Linked DNA regions of Saccharomyces cerevisiae S288C. Changing the gene in region 1 together with any one later gene gives a genetic interaction. Each region holds a gene or a part of one and is shown in the gene's direction. Other genes may lie near its edges. The genes, in order: BCD1, PPA2, ACF2 and ENV7.

Region 1 (3,176 bases):
GAGAAATCAGAATTGCCCCAAGTAGATTGAGCTTTGCCTGCCTTAGAAACCATTTCATCTATGTCAGCTTCCGTTTTCGATGGAAAAGAACCTAGATATTGACCTGTGGCGGGACAATGACATTGAATAAAGTTTGGTTCTTCAGGATTCCATATGTTAGTGGAAACAGACCTCTTGCCCTTCCAATTATTTTGAGCGGCCTCTGGTGCAGGAAGGGAGAATTTGACTGGCTTATAGGACGAGGAACACTTTGCTGGGGTGGAGATTATCTTGACCAAAACATACAGAGTGAAAATTGAGGCAACTAGCGTTGTAATGCCTATCAGTTTTTGGTTATCTTGAATAATTTGGGGTTGAGAACGCATTATTGCGTTTTGCTTCTCCAACCATAAGTTAAAGTAAGCTTGAACTGTGGAGTTCAAATGGTTAATCATGTCTGAATTCAGATAGACCTTGGACATGATGAATAAACGTTCGATAAAACAGAGGAGAAACTGAACGTGAACTGTGAAAAGAATTCTACTATTCTGCAAATACTATTATAATTATATAGTAATCCCCATCGGCGTTTAGTATTTTTCGTTAATAAAATAAAAATAGAGAGACCATACTTTCTCCTTTACAACCGATATACTAAATAACACATTTTTGATTATACTACTACTCGTTTAGCAGATAGAGAAAAAAAAAAAAAAAAAAAAAAGGCTGAATGGATAAAGCGAGAGTCGTAAAGACCGAATGCAATGTCAGTTTATACATTTTTATTCTATTGGTATTATATTATAAAAAGATATATGATTAGAAAACTAGAATGTAATGCAATATTACAAGGCATTGATATGGACTTCAGCAGAAGGCTTGATGACAGTCTCGATCAAAATTTTGACAACGTCATCCTTTTTCTTCTCTGCAATTTTCTTAATCTCAGCTAATTCACCTTGCACACCAGCCTCTGCTTTCTTTTCCAATTCACCAACACCACCGGCATTCTTTTGTTCAAACTCCTTCAATTCCTTGTCTTTTTGAATTTTGTATGAGTCGATTTCCTTGGCTGCATCAGTCTTGGCTTGCTTCAACTTATCTTGTCTGTACTTTCTAGCCTTTGATACTATTTCGTGGGCTTCCTTTTCAGCTTGTAGTAGGGTGGCAATTCCGTTTTTTTGGGACTAAAGAGAATATTACATAGTTCTGAGCAACAATGAAAAAACCAATACCTTTGTCACGAGGTACCAGTCCAACAAGAGAGCACAGTTTTAAAAAAGTTTTTCATGTTAGTAAGAACGCTTGTTAGAGACAGAAGTGTTGACACGTAATGTAATGGCACATACCATTCTGCTTTGTATACCTTGCACACTTTGGAGATTGCAGGAAAAAAAAAAATGTATTGTTTAAGGTGTGATTGCTTTATCTATCACGCTCCCTTTTAGAGATGAAATTTTTGATACCCAAGGCAGGGTAACAAATTGAAAAAAAAAAAAATTCGCGGTAATAATAGTGGATGTCAAAGTTCATATTCGATGAGATGAGCTGGAATAGGAGTCCAGTTAATAGGGAAGGGTGTGGCAATTTGCAAGTATGGCGGTGTTGTGTGGTGTATGCGGAATAAAAGAGTTCAAATACAAGTGTCCAAGATGTTTGGTGCAAACTTGCTCTTTGGAGTGTTCCAAGAAGCACAAGACAAGGGACAATTGCTCAGGTCAAACACATGATCCTAAGGAGTATATATCGAGTGAGGCGTTGAAACAGGCGGACGACGACAAGCACGAACGAAATGCTTATGTCCAGAGGGACTACAACTATCTGACGCAGTTGAAGCGAATGGTGCATGTACAAAAGATGGATGCTAGAATGAAGAACAAGCGGGTTCTGGGGCCTGTGGGCGGCCACAACTCTAATTTCAAGAAGAGAAGATACGATATAGATGAGGATGATCGTGATAGCACGGAGTGTCAGAGGATAATTAGGAGGGGGGTGAACTGTTTGATGCTACCCAAGGGGATGCAGCGATCATCGCAAAACAGGAGCAAGTGGGACAAAACGATGGACCTATTTGTATGGAGCGTGGAGTGGATTCTATGTCCTATGCAGGAAAAGGGTGAGAAAAAGGAGCTTTTCAAACATGTCAGCCACCGTATCAAAGAGACAGACTTTTTGGTGCAAGGGATGGGCAAGAACGTTTTCCAAAAATGCTGTGAATTCTATCGCTTGGCTGGAACAAGCTCTTGCATAGAGGGCGAAGACGGTTCGGAGACCAAAGAGGAAAGAACACAGATCCTACAGAAGAGTGGGCTCAAATTCTACACGAAAACGTTCCCTTACAACACCACGCATATAATGGATTCAAAAAAACTGGTGGAGTTGGCTATACATGAGAAATGCATCGGAGAATTGTTGAAGAACACCACAGTGATCGAGTTTCCCACGATATTCGTTGCCATGACAGAGGCTGACCTACCAGAGGGCTACGAGGTGCTACACCAGGAACCCCGCCCACTTGAGCATACGAGTACACTGAACAAGTTTATTGACAATGCAAGGGAGGAGGAAGACGCTGAAGAGGACTCTCAACCGACAGAAGAACCTGTACAGAAGGAAACACAGGACGCCAGCGACAGCGACAGCGACAGCGACGATGACTACAATCCGGGCTTATCCATGGATTTCCTCACTGCATGAGCCGAGATACATAAGGTTGAAGATTACTATTTAGACTATCTATCTATACGTATACACCGCAATATACAAACAGAAAAAAAAAAAAAGAAAAAGCATTCGTAAGAACTCACAGCTCCAGAGCACGAACATACTGGTACGCCAAATCACATATTTCGTTGCTGGTGTCCGGCCCCAACGAGTCGGATGAGGTTTTGTACTCCTTGGCCCGGATTTCAGCTAGGTGTCCTTCGATGCCTGCAATCTTGGTCTCAAACTCGCCCGCTTCGTCCGCCTGCAGTTCTATCAGGAGACCCTTGAACCCAGTGGAGGAGAAGAGGTTGACGAGTCGCACGGTGAGCCCGTCCAAGATCAACGTCTCACCGGCATCACCCTTGATGAGCTGCCTCTGCATCCAGATGTTGGACAGCTTGGACGACAAAATAGTGTCTATGGACTCAGGAACGCCCGTAGATGAGCCATTGAACACCAGCGCCGGAGGGATATCCGCCGCTGCGGCAGTC
Region 2 (5,666 bases), on another chromosome or scaffold:
ATCAGACAATTTTGTCATTCAACAAGCCGGTCTGGATGGATATTTCTTTTTGAGGTACCTTTTCATCATTGCAATTTACTGTGCTGTTTCCATGAGTTATATATTCCCTATTTTGTTGTCCATTAACGCCAGTAACGGTAACCATGAAAGCGGATTGAATCAATTGGCCTATCAGAACGTCAAGCACCGTGGTAGATATTTTGCACATGTTTTCTGTGGATGGATTTTCTTTTGGGGGTTCCTTTACATTATTTACAGAGAATTGTATTTTTACACCTCTATGAAGCAAGCTGTACTAGCGTCCCCTCGTTATGCTAAAAAACTATCCTCGAGAACCGTGTTATTCCAGACTGTCCCTAAGCAATACTTAAGTGAAGAAGAGTTTTCTAAGTTGTTTGATGGTGTGAAAAGAGTCTGGATCGCAAGAGGTTCCGGTTCAATTGAAGCAATGGTCAAAGCAAGGGACAATATGGCCATACAATTGGAAGGTGCTGAAACAAAATACCTGAAAGCAGCATTGAAAAAAATTAAGAAGTTAAACAAAAAAAGTCCGCAATTATCTGTCTCTGATAATATTGCTGAATATGTCCCTGACAAGAAAAGACCACATCATAAAATTAACAAGGTTGCTAAATTCTTTTTTGGTAAAAAAGTTGACACCATATCCTACATTAAGGAGGAGTTGCCCAAGTTAAACCAAAAGGTGAAGGCATTACAAGAAGATCATGAAAATTCATCCCCTTTCAACTCCGTTTTTGTGGAGTTTGAATCCCAATATCAGGCCCAAGTTGCCGCTCAGATCACCACATACCATGCTCCTCTTTTCATGACGCCTGTGTATATTGGTATTGAGCCATCCGATGTCGTTTGGTTTAATTTGAGGATGTTCTGGTGGGAAAGATTAGGTAGGGAAGTCAGTGCGGTTTCAGCAATTGTCGCGCTAGTAATATTATGGGCTTTCCCAGTGGCTTTTGTTGGTATGATCTCTAATATTACTTCCTTGACTAATGAAGTTAAATGGTTAAAGTTCATCTATAAATTACCAAAACAACTATTAGGTTTACTGACATCTCTGGCCCCAACTGTGGCATTGGCCGTTTTAATGAGTTTCTTGCCGAAATTTATTAGGGGTATGGCTATCACTCAAGGTGCTCCATCTAAGCAAAATGTGGAATATTTCACTCAACAAGCTTATTTCGCCTTTCAAGTTATCCAAGTCTTTTTAGTTACCACTCTATCCTCCGCCGCCACTTCCACAGTAACGGAAATTGTTAAAGAGCCCACGAAGGCTATGGATCTACTGGCTTCTAATCTGCCAAAAGCTTCTAATTTTTTCATGTCATACGTTATTCTACAAGGTCTGTCCATTTCATCAGGTGCTCTTTTGCAAATTGTTCCACTAATACTCTTTTATGTTTTAGGTGCCTTTTTAGATGGTACCGTTAGGAAGAAATGGAATCGTTTTTGTGGGCTATCCAGTATGCAGTGGGGGACAGCTTTTCCAGTTTATACAAACTTGGCAGTTATTACTTTCTCCTACTCCATCATTTCTCCGTTGATTTTATTATTTGCTGCCGTCGCGTTTTTCCTATTGTATATTGCATATTTATACAATTTGACTTATGTCTATCAGGAATCACCCGACGCAAGGGGTATTTATTATCCAAGAGCTCTTTTCCAAACTATAGTTGGTATCTACATCGGTCAGATATGTCTATTAGGTCTTTTTGCCGTTGGTAAAGGTTGGGGCCCAATCGTTTTACAGGTAATTGGAATTTGTGTTACCGTCCTTATTCATTTACATTTGAGCGCTGCATTTGATCATTTATCAAAGGTTATACCCGTTGATACCATGAAACCGTTAGATGGTGTATCAGATACACCTTCTTTCAAAAATATTTATAAAGGCATAGAAAGTACAAAGGTGAAGAAAAATACTTTTGGTGCAAATATTGACATGGACGGAATCAAAGAATTACCTGAATTTCCAATAAAGAAATATCACAAGAGGAGTGAATCAGTCACTGAGCAACAAGTTGAAAATAGCATATTTAGTGAAAATACATTCGAATATCAATTCAACCCAGCAAATGAAGCCAATGCAGATGGGCACGCTATAAATGCAGAAAATTTAATTGAGGACGTGCCATTATTAGCAGATGGTGATACAATGAAAATTCCTCCGGCTCCATGGTGGAAGAGATTCTTAAAACCTCACATTTACTACTCCTATAAGGCTGTAAAGAGCAGACTGCCAGAAATATATGGTTTGGTTGATCCTGATGAAAGAGTCAATGATTTCGATATCTCTCATGCTTACGATTATCCAGCTGTTAGTGCACAATGCCCCGAATTGTGGATTCCTCGCGATCCTTTTGGATTTTCCAAATTGTTGATTTCAGACGTTTCTGGCGTTGTTGAAATGAACGATGAAAATGCTACCATCGATGAGAATTTGAAATTTACTCTGCGTGACGTACCACCACCATATAATGATGTTAAAGACGAAGCAAATGGTGAAGCAAATGGCGAATTTGACACAGCTAGTAAGGAAAATAATCCATTTGCGGACCCAAAGTATAAGGAAGAAGAGAGTCGTTCGGCAGTCTAAAGGTTAAACATTATCAGAAATTATCTATTCCTATTTGTTTAGCTGTTATCCTCTGATGGTTGAATTGTAATTTTACTAAGAAAAGGAGAGGAAAAGGACGTGCATATATTCTTTTAATACATTTAAAATATGATTCTAATCATTTCTTATATAATAGTGTATAGTCTAATCATTCATCGTGTATAGTAACCCTTTTTGTTTTTTTTTATGCAAAGTTTTTTTGTTTTTGGCAATCTATGAGGTTTGAATATTGGATAAAAGGAACTCCGCACAGTAATACGGAGCAGTCAGCTAATTTAACCAGCACTAATAGGGAGTACATTCAATTGGAAACTTTGATTCGCTTGTATGCGTGAAAAGCAAATTCCCTTCTAGAGAAGTTACTGAAAAACATGAATTTATTACGAATGAATGCTTTAACAAGCAAGGCTAGGTCAATAGAACGGTTAAAACAAACATTGAATATTTTATCCATTCGTAATCATAGACAATTCAGCACCATTCAACAAGGCAGCAAATATACCCTCGGGTTTAAGAAATACTTGACATTATTAAATGGAGAGGTTGGTTCTTTTTTCCATGATGTCCCTTTAGATTTGAATGAACATGAAAAGACCGTAAATATGATTGTTGAAGTACCAAGATGGACAACTGGAAAATTTGAAATATCCAAAGAACTTAGGTTCAATCCGATCGTTCAAGATACGAAGAATGGCAAGCTTAGGTTCGTGAACAATATCTTTCCCTATCACGGCTATATACACAACTATGGTGCTATTCCCCAAACATGGGAAGATCCCACAATTGAACATAAACTGGGGAAGTGTGACGTGGCTTTGAAAGGTGACAATGATCCTCTTGATTGTTGCGAAATCGGTTCGGATGTTTTGGAAATGGGTTCCATTAAAAAGGTCAAGGTATTAGGATCACTCGCTTTAATTGATGATGGAGAATTGGATTGGAAGGTCATAGTGATCGACGTAAATGATCCTTTATCCTCTAAAATAGATGACTTGGAAAAAATTGAGGAGTACTTTCCTGGGATTCTAGATACGACTAGGGAGTGGTTTAGAAAGTATAAAGTTCCAGCAGGGAAGCCATTAAATAGTTTCGCCTTTCATGAACAGTATCAAAATTCCAATAAAACCATCCAAACTATAAAGAAATGTCACAATTCGTGGAAAAACCTCATTTCAGGATCACTCCAGGAGAAGTATGACAACCTGCCTAATACAGAAAGGGCTGGTAATGGTGTCACACTTGAAGATAGTGTTAAACCCCCTTCTCAAATACCGCCTGAGGTGCAAAAATGGTATTACGTTTAATATGAAAATAATACCTTCGAAGAAAATGTTTAGATAAAGGTTCCTTGTATATAATTACGTAATCTCTGCTCTCTCGAATGTTGGCTGCTTGATGTATGTGAACGTTTGGAAAGAAACTTGGGTTTATATTCACTGCTAAAATGACATCCTATTAGAAGTTCGTCTTTCTCCGGTTCGGTTAGTCTACTCACCTAGAAACATCTTGCGAAAATCGTCGTTGGACATCTGCTCTTGTTTGTCAGGAATTTTTTTCTTTACTTGAAGATTTGGTCCTTTTTCCATCATGTTTATACAACTAGGTTTGACGTGTTTCATGCTGTGATTCTGTTGATTGTTATAATATCTTTTCATGTCATTAATAGTACCTGAACGTATCACCTTTCCCTGAAATTGAGATCCATTTAGTATCATTAGCATTTTTGCTGCAAACTTACTATCTCTAAATATAATAATGGCGCCATTGAAGTCGCTAACGAGAAGTATTTTCCTAATATCTTTTTCATTGATGTGTATTTCTTCCTGAAGAAATTGGCAGATTAAGCTTGGTGACACCTTATCTGAAAGTGGAAATAAGCATATTAGTGTTTCTAGTTCTTTGCTGTTACGCGATGCGAGAAGTCTTTTGACTTCGTTTCTTTCTAAGAATGGTTTTTTATCAGCCAAGGAAACGGAAATTTCCCTATTACCTAACAAACTTCTATTCATTTGAAGTGCCCTTTCAGCAGAATCTTTATTTTCAAAAACCATAAATGCACAACAGTTATTGAAACTGTGCTCTTTCTGTCCAGCAGGTATGTTGATTTTTTCAATGGAACCAAATCCCTCAAAAGATTCCCTCAGAAGGTTTTCGTCGAGCAATTCTGTACTTAGGTTTCGTATCATAATCTCTCGCCCCTCTAGTGTGGCAGAATCGGTCCGTTTCGACTTTTCCAGCGGATTGGAAACTTTAGTAACTAAAGTATAACCTTCTATTTTGAGTCCATTCAATTTTTCTACACAATATCTTGCATCCTCTTTAGAAGTAACATCGATGTAAGCGAACCTTCTGCTTGTATTGAATCGTAAACTGGGAAGCCGTATACTGAGTGCAACAACGTTAATATCTTGCAATAGATCTCTAATATTTCTTTGAGTATAACTTGGGGGGAAATTCGTCATCCATAATGTGCATTCTGTTAAATGAGATACTATAATTTCATTCTGACCTACAACTTTGTGTGTTTTGGTTATTGCAGCGAGGGCTCCATCATACCTGGCAAATTCAATACGTGCAAAACGAAAGTTCTTCTTCAGCGAATCCGCAACATCAACGTGTATAATGGGCCCACAATGTTTGAAGTACTTATAGACTTTGTTTTGATTATAGCTCTTAGGCAAATTTTTGACTAATACAGTTGTTAATTCTCTATTTCTTGTTAAAGCTTCGTTCGCCTTCTTAGAAGTTAATCCTGCGGCTGCTGGTGATCCTTCATCCAATGGTCGTTTTGAATCTGGTCTAGCGTGATGTCCATACTCCATTATCACAGATTATGAAGTGAATATGTGGGCTTGTTTATCGCTAATGATTCTCATATAATAAATATAAAGGGTTTTCAATGTTGTAGTAAATCTGCCATTTTGAATAAGTTCCCGCCTGAAAATTTTTTAGCGATGACTTTAAAAAAGACATTGATGCACTCTACAATTCATTGTCATGATGTACATAGAAAATTGAATGATACAAGCGGAAA
Region 3 (7,109 bases), on another chromosome or scaffold:
TGATTTTAGTTAAAAATAAAATATCAAAACGCCGATGAGACAGGCAGGATAAAGTGACAGATTCAGTTATACATTATGGTTAATAATTCACAGCATCCTTACATCAAAGATGGATGGTTTAGAGAGATTAATGATAAAAGTTTTCCGGGCCAGGCCTTTACTATGACCGTGGACTCAATACTTTATGAAGCCCGCAGTGAATTTCAGGACATCTTAATCTTCCGTAACAAGGTATACGGTACTGTTTTGGTCCTCGATGGTATTGTCCAATGTACGGAATTTGATGAGTTTGCCTATCAAGAGATGATCACCCACATTGCCATGTTTGCGCATTCTAATCCCAAGCGTGTACTTATCATTGGCGGTGGGGACGGAGGTGTCTTAAGGGAAGTAGCCAAGCACAGCTGTGTAGAAGATATCACTATGGTAGAAATTGACTCATCAGTGATCGAATTATCCCGTAAGTTCTTGCCCACATTGAGTAATGGTGCTTTCGATGACGAAAGGTTGGACTTGAAACTTTGCGATGGCTTCAAGTTCTTACAAGATATAGGTGCTTCCGACGTCCATAAGAAATTTGACGTCATTATTACAGATAGTTCTGATCCTGAAGGTCCAGCTGAAGCGTTTTTTCAAGAGAGGTATTTCGAACTATTGAAAGATGCTTTAAATCCTAATGGCGTTGTTATTATGCAAAGCTCTGAAAATTTTTGGTTAAATTTAAAATACTTACATGATTTGAAAAATACAGCCAAAAAGGTATTTCCTAATACAGAATATTGCTATACCATGGTTCCAACCTATACATCTGGCCAATTAGGTTTAATTGTTTGCAGTAATAACGCCAATATACCGTTGAACATTCCGCAAAGAAAGATATCTGAGCAAGAACAAGGGAAGCTGAAGTACTATAATCCTCAAATACATTCTAGTGCGTTTGTTTTGCCTACTTGGGCAGACAAGGTCATTAATGAATGATTTATTAGCATTGATATTATTATTTTAAAAAGTCTATTTACTTGTATATTTATCCGAATATGCCATCAATGGCTGATTTGTTCTTCTTTTTCCTTTTCTTTTTCTTCTTACAGTTCTCTGTCAGAGGCTTTGGTATAGACGTTATCACTAGTTCGTTTTCTTGAACGTTGTTGCCAATATCTTCATCTATAATTTCTCCAAGTTCTTCGACATCGTTCACAACCGATTTTGCTTTTGTTCTCGGTAAGTTCTTTATTAAGCATCCACATCTTATAAACTCAGTTTCATTAATCTCCCATAATCTCATATACAGTGCCCTCACATTTGCCAGCAATGTTACTAGTGTACAACCCAACGTTACAAATTGTCCCAGCGCAATTACGCCATTGAACTGCCAGTACCATCTCTTTAACTGTCTAAAAAGTGCTCTCTGTAATAGCCTGTGCAACTTGACCCATTCAACATCTTTAAGGCGTTTGGCTTGTAATCTTCTCGAGCTAAAAAGCGTTATTATTTGTCCACAATTTCTTTTCATCTCATTGAACGATCCATACCAGCTAGCCGCTCTATGTTGATTTTTGTTCCTATGGTTCAAGAGCAATATTAACCGATATTCTTGCTCCAGAGATCGTATCACATTATCCATCTCATCCATTTTGTTTCTGCTCTTTTTTTTTTTGTGGATATATCATTCTAGTACTCATTTCTTTGAAGTTTTTTTCTTGGAACCATAAATAAAATTCATGAATTTCTGAAAAGTGCTAGTATCATAAAAACAAAAATAAATAAATACGAGAAGTAAAAAGATGTGTTACAGTAGGCAAGCCATTCCTCCACCTGTTCCTAATAGACCTGGCGGTACTACCAATAGAGGACCTCCTCCCTTACCACCTCGCGCAAATGTTCAGCCACCAGTTTGTTCTTCTGAGAACTCCAGTAAACCTCGAGAAAATAGGGTGGCAGGTGAATCACTGCGCACACCAAGCAGTTCTAACCCTTTAGCTGACAGCCAGGTGAATAGTGACAATATTTTTCAATCACCTGTCCTTTCTAACTTAAAAGCTCCTCCTTCCGTCTTCAACAAAGTTCAACACCCGGTACCAAAGCCGAATATTGATGATCAATCTGTTGATCCATTGGAGACAAACAAGTTCTACACAAACATGTTATTAGACGATAATACACAACCTATATGGACACATCCTTATTCAATTTGGTTTTCTCGTGATCCAGAATTGTTTGGTTTGGCCGCCAATCATACTTTAGCGTCTCAAAGGGTTTTTGATACAACTACAAATCCTCCCAGATTCTACTTCAATCCCACAAATATAAAATCATTTGTATTCAAGGCCAGGGAATTTGTCTCTTCAAATGATATCAAGCTTGAATTCCGGGATATGAAACATATGTCCATGTGCTTACTAATGTCTTTGAGTAGTTCCCAGTTTATAGAATTCCCGCTGGTTCAGGGGATGGGCTTTGTCACGGCTATTTACCACGATTTGGGTTTTGAATTAAGAAGCGCCGTTGGTTTCAGGAGCTTAGAGCGCATAAGCGTGAATGAAAGATATGGTAAATATAATATACAACTTGAGAATAATAGGAATTGGATACTTTATTTGACCTCACCTGATTACTCTTTTCCACAAGATTTTCAAATTTCATTACTCGACAGCAATACAATAATATCATCTCATAAAATCAATGGTCTTATCTGTCAATTATCTGCAGACTCCGTCCCCAGTATTGACATGGCAGCGGGCTGTTATCCAGTATACTGTGACCTATCAGGGCAAACTGTTGATGAACATTTCACAAATTACAGATTTAACTATACGGTTGCAGGCTACTCGCAGTCTGGAACTACTCTAATGTATGCTTTACCACATCATAAAGCGGCATTCACACCAGAAATGCAGGAACGTGAAATTGCCTCAAGCCTGGATTCCACAGTTAAAGGCTTAATGACTGGTTATCTCACAAACAGTTTTGATATGCAGGTTCAAGTACCTCAAGAATTGGGCTTTGAACCTGTCGCGTTATCTTTGAATAAGAAGGCAGATTACAGTCAAGAAAAGCTATCTAAAATTCGGGAAGCTGCTGTTCAAGAAGTTCAATTGAGTGACCCTCAACAAGAATCAAACATAGATTCTATGTATTTCTCTGGTAAGATACTTGCAAAGTATGCGTGGATTCTTTATGTGACACATTACATCCTTCATGATGAAAATTTAACAAAAGAATTATTATCTAAACTGACTATTGCAATGGAGAGATTCATCAGCAATCAGCAAGTCTTACCTTTAAATTACGACGTTAGTTGGAAAGGCATAATTTCATCAGGCTCTTCTAGCCAAGACTTTGGTAACTCTTATTATAATGATCATCATTTTCATTACTCTTATCATGTCATAACGGCTGCCATTATCTCTTTAGTCGATTCTGATTTAAGTGGAGTTACTAACAACTCCTGGTTAGAAAATAATAGAGATTGGGTTGAGTGCTTAATTAGAGATTACTCTGGTGTTGACAACGATGATCCGTACTTCCCTCAATTTAGGTCATTTGATTGGTTTAATGGCCATTCATGGGCCAAAGGACTATTTCCAAGTGGTGACGGTAAAGATGAAGAATCTACTTCAGAAGATGTCAATTCTTGCTATGCGATAAAATTGTGGGGGTTGGTAACTGGAAATTCTAAGTTAACTGACATAGCGAACTTACAACTCGGCATCATGAGAAATGTTTTCCAGAGCTACTTCCTATACGAAAGCAATAATACTGTCCAACCGAAAGAATTTATTGGTAATAAAGTTAGTGGTATTTTATTCGAAAATAAAATTGATCACGCCACGTATTTTGGCATGGAGCCTCAATACATTCATATGATTCACGCCATTCCTATAACATCAGCATCTTCATGGGTCAGAACACCAAATTTTGTCAAAGAGGAGTGGGAAGAAAAAATGCAGCCGATAATTGATCAAGTGAATGACGGTTGGAAAGGAATAATCATGTTAAATATGGCTCTGCTTGATCCAAAATTTTCGTACGACTTTTTCAGCCAACCTGATTTCAACAGAAATTTCCTAGACAATGGGCAAAGCTTAACTTGGTCTTTAGCTTATTCAGGTGCTTTTTCTTAGGGGTCAGAAATATATACAGTGTTAGTAGCATGGTACAAGTGTTACGATAAGGTATTTTATAGAATGATCATTTTTTTATATGAATATTGGTTCCTAAACCATCATCAATAATCAAATTATTACAGAACACACCTTAATTGTGCGGCGTATTCTAAATTTTACGTGTTCACAATATGGTGTTGTTCCTATGATTTGCTAACATATTTGGGATCTGTCTATCATTTACACCGCCAGGAGCGTGGACAGCGTATATCTATTAAGTTTATAAAATATAAGGCCTACATTTGGAGTTAGGAACGAATATGCAACCCAAAGCGGTGTTCTTTACCACGGTAATCAAAAAGTTTCTCCACCGGATAGTATCCAATGTGATGGTGGAAAGTGATGATTTCTTTGGGATTATAATAGAGGGTAATCTGGGCTGATTTTGGGGTTTTTTCCAAGATAAGTTCTAACTCCTCTCTACTATCTACAAATCCCGTAATAAAGTTTCTATTATATCCAAACGCACTAACTGTAGTGTTATGAAAACCTTCAATATTCAAATTCAATTTCTGGAATACGGTTGAAACATCATCATTCTCTTCCCTTTCTTTCTTGTCGGAATCATTATCGTCCACTATTAATCTCTTACAAGTAACACCACCAAATTCTGCAACAGCGCCTCTAGGTAATTCAGAAATCTTTACAAGAACTAGGCATTTTTCAACATCATCAGATTTGTCCATCCATAGATCTGATCTATGATTCATATTTGAACAATAAAACGCCCATGTTTTGATGACAGAGTCGAGAACCGATTCGTCTGAAATATAGCATGTCATGAGTAACTTTTCTTGAGCTCCTATTGTTTCACACAAAGTATCAAAATGTTGTAATGCCAAAACTATTTGGTCAGTGAGAGGTGTTCCTAATATTTCCATTGACTGCGGTACTAGTCCGATTTGCCCACTGATAAAACTGACTTGGTTTGCATCATCGTTTAACCAAGTACTTTGGGAATATGGTCCGATATTACATGGAGCCCAATATGAACGGCCTTGAACATGTAGTCCGCCCTTATTCTTGTTGATTTTTTCTTTGCCTGTATTTTTTACATCAACAACAACTGATAACTGTACGTGACAATCTTCTGGCAAGCACTTCGAACCTACGCATGCTCTTGATGGTGGCAAAGGTCCGTATTTTGACAAATCTAAAAATTCATTGTATATTTTGTTGATTTTTCCGAAATTAGACATATCTCTAATTAATAATGACGCAGATAAAATATGATTCCGTGGAATCTGGTTGGAATGCAGAATGTCGGCTAGCTCAGTAAAAATATCTTCACTTTGCTTCTCGACCGTCTCACTTTTACGTGATTGTAGGTTAGAGATGTACAACTTATCATTGGTTTTATTGATTGTCGTTTGTGGTAGAGCATTCGACATGTGATTTTCAAATCTTTGTTCTCCTGTTTTAGCTTGTTGCTTTGGCAAATTTTGGGTTAAATCTTGCCAATTATTACCAAAAATCGAAGGTACAGGTAATTGATCTAATTGGTTGAGTAAAAAACTTTTGCTCAAATTACGCGGTTGAAATTTTACCTTTAACCTTGCATTGTGAACTTCACCATCGCTACATTTGACAATATCAATTAATTCCAAGTATCCATGTTGGAAAAAAGGGGCATCCAAGACCATTGTCTCAAACTCCCCACCCTCTCCACAGATATGAACTTGATAAAGTTGGTTAAGTTTCTGTAACACCGGTTGCATCATAGGCAAGGACATTCCTAAATGTTTCTCGTTCAATCCAATTGCTGCCACCTTGATTATCCTGGCGTCAAATTTATTTCCTGAATTAGTATCGTTTTCAACATTGTTAACATCCTTGGACATAAGGCACATTTCACCCATTAGTTCGGCTTGATCCCTTTGCCATAAATAGCTTAGCACTACTAGACCCAATCTGGAACAAACATTTTCCACTCTGGTCCTCTGGTAAGACGATAAGATGGCACCTACACTAACAGCTTCTAAATCTGGAATTTTATCTTTGACAGTTCTTAGAAGTTCAAATAGTTCTTCAATTTCATCATCCTGAGTAGCAGTATAATTCAACTCGACGTTGTTAGAAGTGTTCCGTAATATTGAGCGTCTAAATAGTGGAACACCAATACATTTAGAATAATAGTCTATTAAGTCATGTCCTACTGTTTGGAACATGAAAGAGTCTAATTCTTGCTCTTCTGATTCTTTTGGGTATATATTTCCCAGGGCAATCAATTCATGGTTGTTCTTCAGGCAGTGAAAAATATTGTAGAACGAGTCCTTCCCACCTGATATTAATGCTATAAACTTCATGATACTGACTTATTGGGCTTTGAATTTTGATATAGCTTTATCAAAGATTTCCGTTTGAACTAGCTATTCATCATCCATCAGATATAAGTGAAAAAAAGCTTCTTTAATAGAAGCTTAAAAAAATTCTCCGCGACGGGGAATTGAACCCCGATCTGGCACGCGACAAGCGCCCATTCTGACCATTAAACTATCACGGATAAGAAACACTGGAAAACTATGTATCCCAAAATCCCATACGTTGGTTTACTAACACTACTAGATGTATTATTCATAGGTACCCCAAAATCCTTACAAAGAGACAAGGCTGAGTGTATCAAGCAAAACCGCTTTAAATCTGATGTTCTGCGCTTTCTCCCTTTGATTAGATTCAGGTCTTATGTAGTTTATAGAAGATGAGTACCTTTCTTGTGCATAAGAGTTGATAATAAGCCTGACGACGACAAGCCACTTTCCTACCGATTTAGGATTGGCAAAACATCTGGTACTATTCGAACCCATAATCAATAGGAAGAAAGCTTTACCAACAGATTGTTATTTAAGTGGTTCAAGTATATTAACTCTTGATATCCGTGCGTTTACTTTACTATTAGTGTTATTATCATTACTTATATATAATATGTATAACTAGAACATCAGA
Region 4 (3,660 bases), on another chromosome or scaffold:
CCAACTGCTGCCTATTTTAGGTGTACTTTTTTACTTCTTATCACCAACAATCACGCAAACATAAAATTTTTATTTATACATATATATTTGATGCAATTTCTGCCTTAAAGTACAAAATGCTTATTCCGTAGTATCCATGGCATCAGGGTCTGCTGATTTAGCAATGGATATTTGAACGTTGCCCTGATCATCAATATATTGTGACTCGTTCTCTTGAACATACTTAACAGATCTAGCGCTGTCCAAAAATAGCAAATAAGCCCTTTTGACATCTTCCACTTCAACAGTGTTGTTTTTTCTCTTCATTGCAATTTGCTGAGCAACAGAGATTAAATTACTGCTGTAACGCAAACTAGTTTCCACACCTGTTTTGGTCAATAGATCTAAGGCATCGGATGACAGTTCAACTTCCTCCTCTTGTGCTCTTATAGATAAAATTGTCTTAATCTCCTGCTCATTATAACTTTTAGTTGTAATAATAATTGACCTATCCAAAAGATCGAGAGGTAACCCATGTGGAGATTTGTAATTAGTCCCTCTGGTTTTGGAAACTCCTCTATTTGTAGCCATCATGACGATTGGGGCAAACTCATCTTCCAAAGCCCTATTTATAAAGGAAAAACATTCTATATCCAACATGTGGACTTCGTCGATAAATAATACACCAGGAACAATTTCTGCTTTACCTTCTTCTTTCCATTCTGCCACTTTTGTGTTTATCTGGTCTCTTACCTCTGACCTAATTTCACCGGTGTCACCAGTAAATAATGCCAAAAATCCTTGTGTTCTTGAATTAATAACATCAATTTCATGCAGTGACACCGTGTGAACCACTGTTTTCCTTTTTTGCAGTTCGCCTTCCGGACATTGAACAAATCTGGTATCAGCACCCATGGCATCATAATCCCTAGATCTAGCAAAGGATCTGCCTAGCTTGGTAATCTTCCCACTAGCTTTATCAATAGAAATAACATCGCCAGCCAATACCTTTTCTTTAGTTAGGCCATCAATCATTTTATTGCCTAATTCATAAATTGTTTCCATATCGGTAGTTTTAATAGTCAATTTTCCTTGTTTGTGTCCACCAGTAATAGATCTATCAATTTGAATTTCCACGACTTCACCTTCAATCAATTCTGTCTCCTCCTTGATTTTGATACCGATGGATTTCCTAAAAGCTTGAGTTAGTGCTTCAGTTTTACTCAATTCTAAAGAAAAGATTTCTGAGCCCGCAATAGCAGTGAATGGTACATCTTTACCCAGAGACTGGGAAACACCCATGGCAAGAGCGGTCTTACCAGTTGAAGGGGGGCCCGCTACCAAAACAGCCCTACCTGCTATGGTGCCATTTTGAACCATTTTCAATATCACACCAGCAGCACGACGGGCTTGCAATTGCCCAACCATACCTTCGGATGTGGGACGTGGTTGCAAGTTTTCATCTAGACCTAAACCTGTAATATGGGAGTGGGCAGCAATTAAAGATAACGACTTTAAATCTGATGTTTCATTTGGATCACTAGTTTGAATCGACATGCTGACAATTTTTTTTATTTCCTTTCAAAGTAACTTGTGCTAGACTGCTAGAGAAAGTAGTATTGCTGGCTTCAACTAACTGAACTTCTTTCTCTCGTTTCCCGTGTGAATGTACAGTCTTCATTTAGCTTTCATCTTCTATTGAAAACCTTCAAAAAGTTCGCTGAAAAAAATAATTTTCACGTTTCTTTCAAACTGATCACGTGAAAGGGAGTTAAATAGACTTTAATAAGTGTAGAAACAAAGAAGTAAAGAAAACCGCTATATTGGGTCTAACCAATACGACTGATACAACTGTGTTGACCCCCAAAGTTTACATAATTTGCTCTTTTTCTTTTTTGCAAGATCCTTTCTGTTTTGATAAGTCCTGTCTTATGACACCGAGTTAGGGACATTTTCGGTATCTGGTTTTGTAAGATGTTGAACCATACTTTCTCCAAAAAGACGAAACAGAGAGTAGACAAAAAGAGCCTGTAATCTCAGCGACTGACTAGGGATAAAATAACGATTGTACCATCTTATCCGATCAATGATTTCTATTGTATTGGAATTGTTCCAGAACTTGTGCTGCTGTCGCGGATTTTCCGATGCTACTATTAGGGTAAATGATAAACGATATAGGATTCAACGACTACTTGGAGAAGGTGGAATGTCCTTTGTGTATTTGGTACAACTGTCAAAGAATTCTCTGATTATAGACAACGGCATCGCAACACCAGAATTATACGCACTAAAGAAGATTATTTGTCCTAGTGTGGAAAGTATATCCAATGGTATGCGAGAAATTGAAAATTACAAACGGTTTCAAAGTCCTTATGTTATAAAAAGTATCGACTCACAAGTAATGCAGGAAAAAGATGGGTCAAAAACAATTTACATAGTACTACCCTATTATTCATTAGGGAGTTTACAAGACTCTATTAATCGGAGGTTACTCGAGGGCACCTTTGTATCAGAGGCAGAATGCGTAAGGATAATGCTTGGAGTTACAAGAGGTTTACTTTGTTTACATGATCCTGCGTCAAGACAAGATAACGCTACTTCCAGAGTAAATGTCGATGCGGTTTCTATGACTTATAGCGATGAAACGGCGATGCTCCTAGAAGACACCCCCTTAGAGATGGACATGCTTTCCTCCAACTCAGCAGGTTCAATAGCATATGCACATCGCGATATTACACCTTCAAACATTTTGTTCTCTTCAGACGGTTTACCAGTAATTGGTGACCTCGGCTCCTGCTCTCAAGCTGATATAACAATTGAAAACAGACATCAACTCAGCGAACTACAAGAATGGGTCAATGACAATTGTACGTTGCCATATACTCCACCAGAACTTCTGAACTTGAAATTAAATCAGGTTTTGAGCTCTAAGGTTGATATTTGGTCTTTGGGTTGTACGTTCTATACTTTAATGTTCGGTATCTCCCCCTTTGAGCGAGAAGAGCAGATACATGGAGCTTCTTTAACCTACGCTATAAACACTGGTAAGTACAGTTTCCCGAGAAATTCCAGATTTTCTGAGGGGCTTTTGAGTGTAATCAAGAAATGCATTCAAGTGGATCCTATACAAAGGCCTACTACCAGCCAATTATTAAATCTTTTACAAGATTTAGACACTTGATCGGTTTTGCTTCTCAAAGCTTTTTCCTGTCCTTGGGAAGTAAACAGGACACGATGATTGGCTGGCTCCATGCAATGTGTTCACTCTGATCAATGAAGATTACCTACCGCTGTTTAGATTTATTTTGTGAATGAAAATTTTTACTTTAAGTTTTTCTTCATTTAAACATTAAATATCTAATGAAACGAATAAAATACACAAGATAAACGAAATCCGTATTTATTATATATATGCTAACAGGTAAAGCACCAACATCACATTCTCCTTCTCTTACCAACGGTAGCTTGGAAACCGGTTTTAATAGAAGAGACGGATCTGGTAGAACCACAACTTTTACAGACCATAAAGAACAGTCTGTTTGACTGTTCTCTCTTCAATTCGGTGTTAATACTCTTACAAGTTTTACAAGTGACATACTCCAAAATGTATCTTCTTAAGACATTCTCCATTTGTTTGGATTGAAACTTACCCTTAATGACTAATCTTTTCTGACCGTCAAC

What was found.
Region 2: mutations in BCD1 (region 1) and PPA2 together harm fitness more than expected from each alone (negative genetic interaction), as found in Saccharomyces cerevisiae (one large-scale study listed by BioGRID).
Region 3: mutations in BCD1 (region 1) and ACF2 together harm fitness more than expected from each alone (negative genetic interaction), as found in Saccharomyces cerevisiae (one large-scale study listed by BioGRID).
Region 4: mutations in BCD1 (region 1) and ENV7 together harm fitness more than expected from each alone (negative genetic interaction), as found in Saccharomyces cerevisiae (one large-scale study listed by BioGRID).

Annotation. Positions count from the first base shown.
Region 1 is NC_001140.6:186,349-189,524, forward strand, and holds BCD1 (Bcd1p), read left to right. Parts: upstream 1-1,575; coding exon 1,576-2,676; downstream 2,677-3,176. Other genes in the region: MSC7 (meiotic recombination directing protein), read right to left, coding at 1-461; VMA10 (H(+)-transporting V1 sector ATPase subunit G), read right to left, coding at 825-1,166, 1,329-1,331; SRB2 (Srb2p), read right to left, coding at 2,783-3,176. UniProt on the Saccharomyces cerevisiae protein: Required for box C/D snoRNAs accumulation involved in snoRNA processing, snoRNA transport to the nucleolus and ribosome biogenesis.
Region 2 is NC_001145.3:798,769-804,434, forward strand, and holds PPA2 (inorganic diphosphatase PPA2), read left to right. Parts: upstream 1-3,003; coding exon 3,004-3,936; downstream 3,937-5,666. Other genes in the region: RSN1 (Rsn1p), read left to right, coding at 1-2,611; U6 snRNP complex subunit PRP24, read right to left, coding at 4,120-5,454. UniProt on the Saccharomyces cerevisiae protein: Involved in energy production. Its activity is stimulated by uncouplers of ATP synthesis.
Region 3 is NC_001144.5:426,692-433,800, reverse strand, and holds ACF2 (endo-1,3(4)-beta-glucanase), read left to right. Parts: upstream 1-1,784; coding exon 1,785-4,124; downstream 4,125-7,109. Other genes in the region: SPE4 (spermine synthase), read left to right, coding at 76-978; RMP1 (Rmp1p), read right to left, coding at 1,028-1,633; DPH6 (diphthine--ammonia ligase), read right to left, coding at 4,415-6,472. UniProt on the Saccharomyces cerevisiae protein: Cleaves internal linkages in 1,3-beta-glucan.
Region 4 is NC_001148.4:101,108-104,767, reverse strand, and holds ENV7 (putative serine/threonine protein kinase ENV7), read left to right. Parts: upstream 1-2,065; coding exon 2,066-3,160; downstream 3,161-3,660. Other genes in the region: RVB2 (RuvB family ATP-dependent DNA helicase reptin), read right to left, coding at 121-1,536; SUI3 (translation initiation factor eIF2 subunit beta), read right to left, coding at 3,415-3,660. UniProt on the Saccharomyces cerevisiae protein: Serine/threonine-protein kinase involved in vacuolar processing and morphology.